2 linked regions of the Oryzias latipes genome follow. The protein of the gene in region 2 purifies or fractionates together with the protein of the main gene of each other region. This does not show direct contact. Links are inferred from orthologs where the notes say so. Each region holds a gene or a part of one and is shown on either strand. Other genes may lie near its edges.

Evidence for each region. The genes of interacting proteins can lie anywhere in the genome.
Region 1: the proteins of jade1 (region 2) and meaf6 purify together in Homo sapiens (affinity purification with mass spectrometry; 5 studies listed by BioGRID and IntAct, counting the BioPlex papers as one, with this or other methods). This does not show direct contact. The link is inferred for Oryzias latipes from reciprocal best matches to the Homo sapiens genes JADE1 and MEAF6.

What each region holds. Positions count from the first base shown.
Region 1 is NC_019869.2:19,899,134-19,905,512, forward strand, and holds the start of meaf6 (chromatin modification-related protein MEAF6), read left to right. Parts: upstream 1-2,505; 5' UTR 2,506-2,649; coding exon 2,650-2,739; intron 2,740-3,940; coding exon 3,941-4,056; intron 4,057-4,143; coding exon 4,144-4,231; intron 4,232-4,307; coding exon 4,308-4,353; intron 4,354-4,438; coding exon 4,439-4,628; intron 4,629-6,173; coding exon 6,174-6,203; intron 6,204-6,379.
Region 2 is NC_019880.2:21,646,465-21,651,175, forward strand, and holds part of jade1 (protein Jade-1), read left to right. Parts: intron 1-458; coding exon 459-616; intron 617-748; coding exon 749-933; intron 934-1,929; coding exon 1,930-2,141; intron 2,142-2,258; coding exon 2,259-2,426; intron 2,427-2,500; coding exon 2,501-2,617; intron 2,618-2,867; coding exon 2,868-3,431; intron 3,432-3,726; coding exon 3,727-3,844; intron 3,845-3,939; coding exon 3,940-4,711.

The DNA.
Region 1 (6,379 bases), on a different chromosome or scaffold from region 2:
CAGGGTGGAGCATCAGAATGTGTCCATGCCGCAAGCTAAAGCAGCTCACTGACAGGTGGACCACAGATTTATGTACAGCTTTTGTCCAACTTGTAGAAAAATACTGATCTGAACACAGAAGTAACCCTTTGTGCATGAGGTTTCAGACTCACAGACATTCGTTTTTAGTATTCTGCTGAATATTTGATCAGAAATGATAATTTCACTGACAAAACTTTTCCATATCAAAAAACGCCCCTATCACCGTCCGCGGGTGGTTTCTCACCCAAACTCGGGTCCTCTACCAGAGGCCTGGGACGTCGAGGGTCCTGCGCAGTATCTTAGCTGTTTCTAGCAATGCGCTTTTCTGGACTGAGAGGTCTGAGGTCTTTCCAGGTATCTGTTGTAGCCACTCCTCCAGCTTGGGGGTTACTGCCCTGAGTGCTCCAATTACCACAGGCACCACTGTTACCTTCACTTTCCATGTTTTCTCCAGTTCTTCTCTGAGTCCCTGGTATTTCTCCAGTTTCTCAAGTTCCTTCTTCCTGATGTTCCCATCGCTTGGCACCGCCACATCCACCACAACGGCTTTCCTCTGTTCTTTATCCACCACTACAATGTCTGGTTGGTTGGCCATTACCATCCTATTAGTCTGGATCTGGAAGTCCCACAGGATCTTTGCCCTCTCATTTTCTACCACCTTCGGAGGTGTTTCCCCATTTTGACCTTGGGGTTTCTAGTCCATATTCTGCACACATGTTCCTGTATATTATTCCAGCCACTTGATTGTGGCGCTCCATGTATGCTTTACCTGCCAGCATCTTACACCCTGCAGTTATGTGCTGGATTGTTTCAGGCGCCTCTCTGCACAGCCTACACCTTGGGTCTTGTCTGGTGTGGTAGATCTGAGCCTCTATGCTCTGGTGCTCAGGGCTTGTTCCTGAGCTGCCAGGATGAGTGCTTCGGTGCTGTCCTGTAGGCCAGCCCTTTCAAGCCATTGGTAGGACTTCTTGACATCCGCCACTTCAGTTATGCTCCGTAGGTACATCCCATGCAGTCCTCCCATGAGGATCTGTCCTCCACTGCTTCCTTTGCTCTCCATTGCCTGAGACATTCACTGAGCACACTGTCAGTTGGGGCCTTGAGCTTGATGTATTCATGCATGTTGGATGTTTCATCCTGGATAGTGGCTTCTACGCTCACTAGTCCTCGGCCTCCTTCCTTGCGGCTAGCATACAGTCTCAGGGTGCTGGATTTGGGATGGAACCCTCCATGCATGGTGAGGAGCTTTCGTGTGTTAGCATCCATGGTCTGTATCTCTTCCTTTGGCCATCTTATTATTCCTGCAGGGTATCTGATTACTGGCAGTGCGTAGCTGTTTGTTGCCCGAGTCTTATTTTTGCCATTGAGCTGGCTTCTCAGGACTTGCCTTACTTGTATGAGGTATTTAGCTGTTGCAGCTTTCCTTGTTGCCTGCTCCAGGTTGCCATTTGCCTGCGGAATTCCAAGGTACTTGTAACTTTCCTCAATGTCTTCCATTGTTCCTTCTGGGAGTGGGACCCCTTCTGTGTGGACTACTTTGCCTCTCTTTGTCACCATCCGGCTACATTTCTCGAGCCCGAATGACATCCCAATGTCAGTACTGTAGATCCTGGTGGTGTGGATCAGGGAGTCAATGTCACGCTCGCTCTTAGCATATAGCTTGATGTCATCCATGTAGAGGAGGTGACTGATGTTGGCCCCATTTCTGAGTCGGTATCCATAGCCAGTCTTGTTGATTATTTGGCTGAGGGGGTTCAGACCTATGCAGAACAGCTGTGGGGACAGAGCATCACCATGGTATATCCAAAATTTGATGGACACTTGTGCAAGTGGCTTCCCATTGGCTTCATTTCCTATGAAGAGTCCTTTTGATGTTGTACAGCTCCAAGCATTCAGTGATCCACGTGTGTGGCATTGAGTCATAGGCCTTCTTGTAATCAATCCAGGCTGTGCACAGGTTGGTGTGTCGTGACCTGCAGTCTTGAGTGACTGTTCTGTCAACCAGGAGTTGGTGTTTGGCTCCTCTGAAGACTCTACCAATGCCCTTCTGTGTGTTTGCTCATGTATTGATCCATGTGCCTATTTATCTTGGTTACAATGATGCCAGACATGAGCTTCCATGTTGTGGATAGACAGGTTATTGGGCAATAGTTGGTTGGGACTGCACCCTTTGAGGGATCCGTCTAGATCAGGATCGTTTGCCCTTCCGTTAGCCATTCGGGTGAGTCCCATGAGCAGCTGGTTCATTTGTGCTGGCAGACGCTCGTGGAGTGCGGTGAGCTTCTTTAGTCAGTAGGCATGTAACATGTCAGGGCCCGGTGCTGTGCAGTTTTTCATACCTGAGACTCTTTCTTGTATGTCTGCCACTGTGATGGTTACTGGATTCTGTTCAGGGAGGTTGCTATTTTCTTTTGTCAGAGAGACCAGCCACTGGGCATTACTGTTATGTACTGTCTCTTTCTTCCATTTACCTTTCCAGAACTCAGTTCAAGTATAAAACAAGGTAGGAAGAGGGTCCTTTCACAACGCTTGGGCGCCACCTTGCGGTCTTATCTTTGTCGGCACCAACGCGTCTCCAGTTTTCCTGAGCGCGCGCGCCTCCTCCCGTCGGTTCCGGAACGAGCCATCATGTCGATGCACGCGAAGGCGACCCCGCCGCAAATCCCGGACACGCGTCGGGAGCTGGCGGAGCTGGTGAAGAGGAAACAGGAGCTCGCCGTGAGTCCGCAGTTCTGTTTCAGCGGGTTAAATGTTTTTTTTCGGAACCCGGGTTTAGCGCGCCAAGCTGAGATACCCGAGCATTAGCTTATGCTAGCTGAGCTAGCAGGCCGCAAAACCTTTATTGTGAATTGTCCTAACTAAGCATCGACCAAGAACAAAAACACTTTATCCTCACATCGAAAAAAACATTTAAAGTTTGTGTTTCTGCGTTTCATGTTTGAATGTTTTATTTTTTCACGTTTTTTGACGAACAAAATCCAAATTAGTTTACAGACCTGAAGCACGAACAGTGTGTTCTCGCGATACCTTACGTTTTGAAACTCTTTATTGTTCAACACCGTTGTTTACAGAGTGGAACCTACTAAGATTTAGTAGTGAAAAACCAAGTTACAATCGCGTTACATTTCTGTCATAGGTTATTTTTCTTATCTTTTTGCGACTTTTACTGTTTTCATCTCTAGTTGTGCTTCTAGTAATACTCTAAGTAATGGAAAATGACCTTTATTGTAAAGTACTAGTGCGTCACTTAAAATTACTTTTTTTGTCTAACATAAAACGTTTAACAACAAATTTGCTTAATTACCCAGTACTGTAGTAGTAGTTTTTTTGGTTTACATACTCGTTTGGTTTACATACTCGTTTTTTAACATGTTGTTATTGTTTGGACGACTACTCTTTAACTTTTGCCTCCTTAACATTATTTAAAATAATGTTTTGCTTGTACTTGAAAGATGTTTCCCGTCAATTTATTGACCTTTATTGACAATAACAAGCGTCAAATTCAATTAAAAAGTCTCAAAATGGAATTTTTCTTGAATTTAGTTGGAATGTATAAATGCATGTATCCATCATCTACCACTTCAAAGATAGAAAATGTTTTTCTAGTTGTATACTGACTCTGCAGTCTTGTGGATTTCTATAAACATTGAATTTAGTTCATAAATTGGAAAATTAGATGATTGGGTTGATCAACTAGGAAGAGAAAGACCAATTCTGGAGCTGAAAAATTCAAAGTTTACCTCAAGTGGCTAAATAATGAAACAATCTTTACCAGAACCTCAAGAGGATTTTCAAGTTTTTGATGGTAAAAATAAATGAATGAAATAAATTTTAAAAAAGCTATCTTTGTGAAAAGATAAGCACTGATCTTAGCTTGACCAATCAGAACGTCTGCAGTAAAACCGTTTTAACGACACAGGAGACGCTGGTGAACCTGGAGCGGCAGATTTACGCCTTTGAGGGCAGCTACCTGGAGGACACTCAGATGTACGGGAACATCATCCGAGGGTGGGACCGATACCTGACCAACCAGAAGTGAGTGTGAATGCGGCAGACTCCGGTGAGGTTAGATCTTCTGTGCGTTTGCTGATCGGGTCCTTTTCTTTTTCTGCGATCAATCAGGAACTCCAATAGTAAGACTGACCGGAGGAATCGCAAGTTCAAGGAAGCGGAGCGTTTGTTCAGCAAGTCCTCTGTCACGTCCGTCGCAGTAAGTACTTCCTGCGCGTGATGCGTTCAGCCATCTCATGTGAAGTTGCTCCTCAGTGGTCTCTTGTGATTGGCAGGCAGTGTGTGCGCTCGGCGGGATCCCGGATCACATGAACGAGAAGCGTGAGTCAAATTTGCCTACTTTCCTGGTGCCTGGGCCTCCTCAGAATGCCGGTTCTGACTTGTTGCCTCCCGGGGGATTCCCCAGGTGAGGCCGGCAGCGGCACAGAGAGCGATGCGTCTCCAGACCTTCAGAACCAGGAGAACGAGCCGAGTCAGGAGGACACGGAGGACGTGGACTCCACGCTGCACGACCTGAAGCCTCAGAAAGCCGCCTCCTCTTCCTCAGGCAGCCATCACGGGAGCTACAAGAAGAGGAAGAACAAGAACAGACACAGGTGAGGTGTGGGCGGGGTTAAAGCTGAGCCGCAGCAGATTCACCAGAACTTTTCTGTTTAAATTTGGAGATTTACAGCTTTAACAAGGCAAACTAATATATTTGTGTTATTAAGATCAAGAGAACAGATTACACTTAATAAAAATTACAATAATTGAACATTTTTACAAAATATGGTGATTTTTTTTTTTTTTTTTTTTTTTTCCGTCTTCTTCTGACTAAAAAAGTTGAAGTAGAAAACGTTCATTTCCTAAAAAAAATGCTCGTGTGATTGCTGAAGCTGGCTACAGATGATGATGATGATGATTAGGGCTGAAACGATTCCTCGAGTTACTCGACTTACTCGATTACAAAATTTCCTCGAGGAAAAAACTCTGCCTCGAAGCCTCGTTACATTCCTATGACGCGCACTATACGCAGGGATTTGATTGTGTCACACGGACCTTTTGAATTTAGTTGGCGCGATGGCGGAGAATAGATCTATAAATAAACGGCAGAAATTGTCTTAAGTGTGGGATCATTACACACTTAATAAAGAAGAGAACAAGGTGCAGTGTCTGTACTGCAAAATAGAGCTGGCATTCCACAACAGCACATCTTCCATGATTCAGCATCTGAACAGAAGACATCTGCGCGACCGCTGGAACCCCGACGCCTTACCCGCGCGTGCCGCCGGCAGCGAGCGAGGGGCGGCGGGCCGTGGAGGGGGCGCCGATAGGCAGGGGCTGGGACAGGCGGTAGCTCGCCTTTCGGCGGACCGCAAGGCTTCTTAACATTTGCATCAGAGCGGATCTTTAAAATCAAATGCTTGTTCATTTTACAACCACATCATTTTTGTTATGCATTATTTGTTTTGGTTGTTCAAAAACGCACACAAATCGTTTTATCCGATTACTCGATTAATCGATCGATTAAGTGCTATATTAATCGATTACAAAAAGAATCGATAGCTGCAGCCCTAATGATGATCATGATGAAGCACCGGAGGATCTTTTGAGGCTGAAACGTTTGATTTAAAAAAAAAAAGATAACTTGAACGAATGGACTGGGTTGGATCTTCATCTTCATCCTGTGGTTGTGTTCAGTAGAAGCAGGAAGATCATAAAATGTTTGATATCAGATGAAGATCTTCTGAATCTGGACTCTTAATTGATCACCTTCAGACTGTTTCTTTGCAGGAAGCCTCTCCTCTTCTTGATGGTTCTCAGCTTTTGTTTTTCATTTCTTCATTTTCCTTGACTTGACTTTTCTTTTTCTCTGTTCTTTTTATCTCCAGATTTGTGTGTGTTTTTTTGAAGTTCTGCTCATTAAAAAAAAAAAAAAAAAACAGATCAGCTGGGACTCCTCCACTGATCCCAAATGTCCCGTCGAGCTTGTTGCTGATTGTAAACGAGTTCTTTTCAGAGAGGTCTCACTCTGGCGGCTCCAGGAACGTTGAAGGTGGACTCTGAAGTTCTGTCAGAACCGCAGAGTTCCCTCCGGTAGTTCTGTAGAGTCTGAACTAACTGCTGCTGCTCTCTTCCTTCCCATAACGCCGCTCCCTCAGCCCTTCTGCCATGTTTGATTATGACTTCGAGTAAGTCCAGATTTTACTTCCTGCTCCTTTGTCCCCCGCCCCCTCCACCTGACCTCCACCCCCCCAGCCCCCTGCTTGTGTGACCTGAAGCAGCGTGTTCTACTCTGCATGTGAACGCCTCTGTTGGTGCTGAAAGCATGTCAGCTCCTCGTCTGTCGGCTCACTGGTTTCCTTAC
Region 2 (4,711 bases):
TGGTTCCATGCCAAGAAAGAGGGTCATCTGGATGTGGTTTTTCACTCCAAAGCAGCTTTTTCTGCTTTGAATTTGTTAATAAGTAAAAACTGGAGCACATCAAGTGTCTTTGAGCAGACGGTGTAAGGAAAGGCTGACTATCTAAGTTCCAGAGCTTAGCATGTGTGGATGGAAACTTCTCTTATCTTCTGAACAGCGTGTGGACTTTGTTCCTGCAAGTCACACAATCTATCACTGCCTTCCTATTGGTGGCTTTTTGCTGCTGTTGCAATTTTTTAAATCCTGTTTTTTACATTTCTGGCCTTCAGTTAAACATTTATATGGAACAACTAATAGTTGTTAGGTCATTTTTTATGATATTTGTCCAATTTTTCCAAAGTTTACAGTGAGAACGGGTGTTGTGTTTTAGCTAGTGGGGGCAGACGGGCTGTAACTGAGCGCGTTCGCTTGTGCGGCAGGTTTTTAGGACGGACCTGATCACCGCCATGAAATTACACGACTCCCATCCGCTCAACCCAGAGGACTACTTTGTGCTCGCCGACCCGTGGAGGCAGGAGTGGGAGAAGGGAGTCCAGGTTCCTGTCAGTCCGCAGTCCATCCCACAGCCCGTCACCAGGTACCACGCACCCCGTTGTCTCCACGAGTCCCCGTGTTTTCAGAAAACCCGCGTCAACTTTTAAAAACCCCTTCGTGGATGACGCGGTCTGGGCCTGAGTCGTGGGTTGGAAACATGTGCCGTGTTCTGCAGAGTGTTGGTGGAAAAAGAGAAGGAGCTCATGTTCATCAGGCCAAAGAAGCTGATCCGCACGTCTGGCACGGAGGCGCTGGGATACGTGGACATCCGCACGCTGGCAGACGGGGTGTGCCGCTACGACCTGAACGAGGAGGACGTGGCCTGGCTGCAGATCGTCAACGAGGAGTTTGCAGAGATGGGTGAGTTTGGCATGCGTTGATTCCAACTTGTGAACAGGAGACTTTAAGACCCGCGGCATTGAAAATTGTGTTTTTAACATGTTCTTTTCTCATGATGGAGGACATTTATAAAGACATTTCAAGATTAAAACTCCATTTTTGAGTATTTCTGTATTCAAATGGTGATGGATCAGGAGCAGACGTTTGAAAAAGCTGAGGTTTGTTGACACAGCAGCTGCCATGGGCGGGGCCAAAGTCTCCCTGCTCCGCCCTAATTCCAAATCCTCCATTTGCACGCCAACAGATCCATGAACGTCTGTGTTTTCCTGGTCTGAGCTGGAATCTGGATCTAAACTGTACTGCCGGATAGCTCTGAAATTGCTCGCTGTTTTTGTGCTATGCTAACATTAGCTTGGGGTTGTGAGGTGCTGGAAGCTAACAGGAGAGAGTGTAAACAAAGGCATGATGGGATATCAACATAGGGCTACTTCCATGCCAACAGTCAGCCCACAACCCAGGCAGGAATTTCTAACGTCTGCAGAAAATCTGTCTGCTTTTTGCATTTTGCGATAAACGGCACAATCCTGATTAAAAAACCACTGGGACCAGTTTTACAATCAATAAAAATCTAGTTGGAGAGGGAGAACCAGAAAAACAGCTCAGCTGTGGATCACTGAAGCGACAGCAGCTTTACCCGTCTGTCCGTCACCAAAACACGTCAAAATGCGGTGAAGTTTCAGGGTCACGACCTTTGCTACCTTCATGAACGCTGCTTCTGGTCGGGAAAATTCAGCTCTTCAGTTCTGGAGCTCAAACATGTAAAGCAACCCAGGACTTGTGGTCTTTGCTGCAAGTGCTGTAGGTTTCGATGCTTACAGAGACCAGAGAGGTTCACTAAACATGCAAACGGACACAAATGACCCGGTTTCAGATGTTCAGCGCTGGGGTCCACAGCGACCCCTGGTCTCCAGTCAGATCTCCGGATCATTTGCTGACGCCGTTCTGCTGCCGTTCCAGGCCTGCCTCTGCTTGACGAGAACACCATGGAGCGGGCGATGGAGGAGTTTGAGCGCCGCTGCTACGATAACATGACGCACGCCATGGAGACGGAGGAGGGGCTGGGCATCGAGTACGACGAGGACGTGGTGTGCGACGTCTGCCAGTCGCCGGACGGCGAGGACAACAATGAGATGGTGTTCTGTGACAAGTGCAACATCTGCGTTCACCAGGTCAGCGGATGGAGGGCGGAGCCTCCACACTCTGAATATTTAGTCTTTCTCTTTCCTAACATTGTGAAAAACTCTGACCTTTGACCCACTAACATGAAACCCTCCCCTTCTCCTCAGGCCTGCTACGGCATCCAGAAGGTCCCCCAAGGCAGTTGGCTGTGCCGGATCTGTGCGCTCGGCATCCTCCCGAAATGCCAGCTGTGTCCCAAGAAGGGGGGGGCCATGAAGCCGACCCGGAGTGGAACCAAGTGGGTCCACGTCAGCTGTGCCTTGTGGATCCCAGAGGTGAGGGTCAGCCCCGCCCCCCCGTCATGGTGTGTTTACCTGCTGGTGCGTGACGCGTCCGTCCTGCCGTGCAGGTGAGCATCGGGAACCCAGAGAAGATGGAGCCCATCACCAACGTGTCCCACATTCCCAGCAACAGATGGGCTCTGATCTGCTGCCTGTGCAAAGAGAAGGCCGGGGCCTGCATCCAGGTACCGCCCCCGCCGCCACTGCCGCTCACCTCCACAGCCCAGTTCAGCAGGACGTAGCAGACGGGATCACCCGTTATCAGATAATTGCTGTAACGGATCATCCTGTTTTCATTTGGAAAAACTAGGAAATGTGGTATAGATGTGATGTTTGGTGATGATTAAAAACAGGGTTTGGTTTGTGAACCGTTTAAAAACCCACTTCAGCTCTGATTTCAGCCCGACATCTGACTGTCGGTGTGTTTCTTCGTAGTGCTCAGCCAAAAACTGCCGGACTGCCTTCCACGTGACGTGTGGCCTTCAGGCCAACCTGGAAATGAACACCATCCTCACTGAGGACGACGAGGTGAAGTTCAAGTCCTTCTGCCCCAAACACTCCGGACACCAAGGGGCGGAGCCGCGAGACCAGGAGTCGGAGGACGAGGAGGAGGAGGAGGAAGCCGCCGGCCATAAAAAAGGCAGGAAGGGTGGGGTGACACGGGGGGGAGACGCGTCTTCCTACCCTCTGCCGTCCTACGACCAGGAAGGCCTCAGCCAGCAGGAGAAAAGAGTCAGCCTCCGCAAGCTGAAGCTGCAGGAGATGGAGGAAGACTTCTACCGGTTTGTGGAGGTGGAGGAGGTGGCCGGCAGCCTGAAGCTCCCCCCAGAGGTTCTGGACTTCCTCTACCAGTACTGGAAGCTGAAACGCAAAGCCAACTTCAACCAGCCGCTCCTCACGCCCAAGAAGGATGAAGAGGAGAGCCTGGCGCGACGGGAGCAGGAGGTCCTGCTGCGCCGCCTCCAGCTCTTCACCCACCTGAGGCAGGACCTGGAGAGGGTAGGTTTCTGGGGGGCGAGGGGGAGAAGACGGTCAGGGGACGGGCCAGACAAAGCTCTGAAGTCGACTGAATAAAAACCCAGTGAGACACGGCGTGTTTGCAGCCTGTAGAGGGGGGGGTGATGGGAGGACTCTGCTCCCCCAGCATCTCCCTGTTCTGATGCTTCACTGCAGCTGCGGGCCGCCGGTGGAGCGGCTCAGTCTCTGTGACAAACGAACAGGAAGACGTCGTAAAGCTCCGGGTTCTGCTGTGTGAAGTCATGGTGATCTCTATAGAAGCTGCTGTTGCTTCCAGGTCCGGAACCTGACCTACATGGTGACCCGGAGGGAGAAGATCAAGCGCTCCCTGTGGAAAGTCCAGGAGCAGATCCTGCAGCAGCAGGTGGTCCTGCTGGACCAGGAGCTGCTGAACGGTGAGTCCTGCCTCCAGACGCGTCGCCCTCTAGTGGTCAACGTGTCGGTAACGGTCAAGACGGCCTCATGCTGATCCCCAACGGTTTCGTTTCAGGCAATCCTTCGCCCAAAGACCTGGAGAGGGTCTTCTCTCTGGGCTGGTTGTCCTCTCAGTCCAGCTTGTCCCCGAGTCTCCCTGAGCTGCAAACCAAGTCACCGAAGCAGAGGAGAAAGACGAGCAGCGACCGGAAGAACCAGTCCGACTCCTCTCACACCCAAAGGAGAGAAAATCAGGCCAAACCCGTGGAGATGAAGGACAGCAGCAGCTGTCAGCTGGGAGAAGTGGTTCCCGCTCAGGCAGGAGGCGGAGCTCCAGTCCAAAGCGCTGAAGTCAGCAGGGAGGGGTGGAGCTCCAAGCTCGGGAGGCCAGACGTCATCCAGGAAGCTGTAGTCCGGCTGCACAAGGTGGAAAGCAGGAAGGCTCTGAGGAGGGAGGCCCCGCCCCCTGAACAGGAGGAGCGGGGGAGGAAGAGGAGAAGCGAGGCCGCGGACGGCTTTGCTTGTCCGATGAAGAACAAGCTGGGGTCAAAACACCTGGAGAAAACCGTCTCCATCAGGCTGGTGGACATCAGGAACTCTGACTCAGACGAGTTCTTCATCGACGAGGGCGTGGCCAAAAGAGGCCCCGCCTTCTCAGATGTGACGCCAAACTCTAAGGTCAGCAGGGCCAGCGTGGTTTTAGACGCCGCCACTCTCCCGAAAGCCAACGTGTGGCTGAGAAGAACACCCATCGATGGCGCCCACGCCCCCCCGGGGGCCGCGGCCGGACACCTGAGGAGCTGGGGGAAGTTCCGGATCCCCAGGCGGGGCGAAAGGCCTCCGGCTGT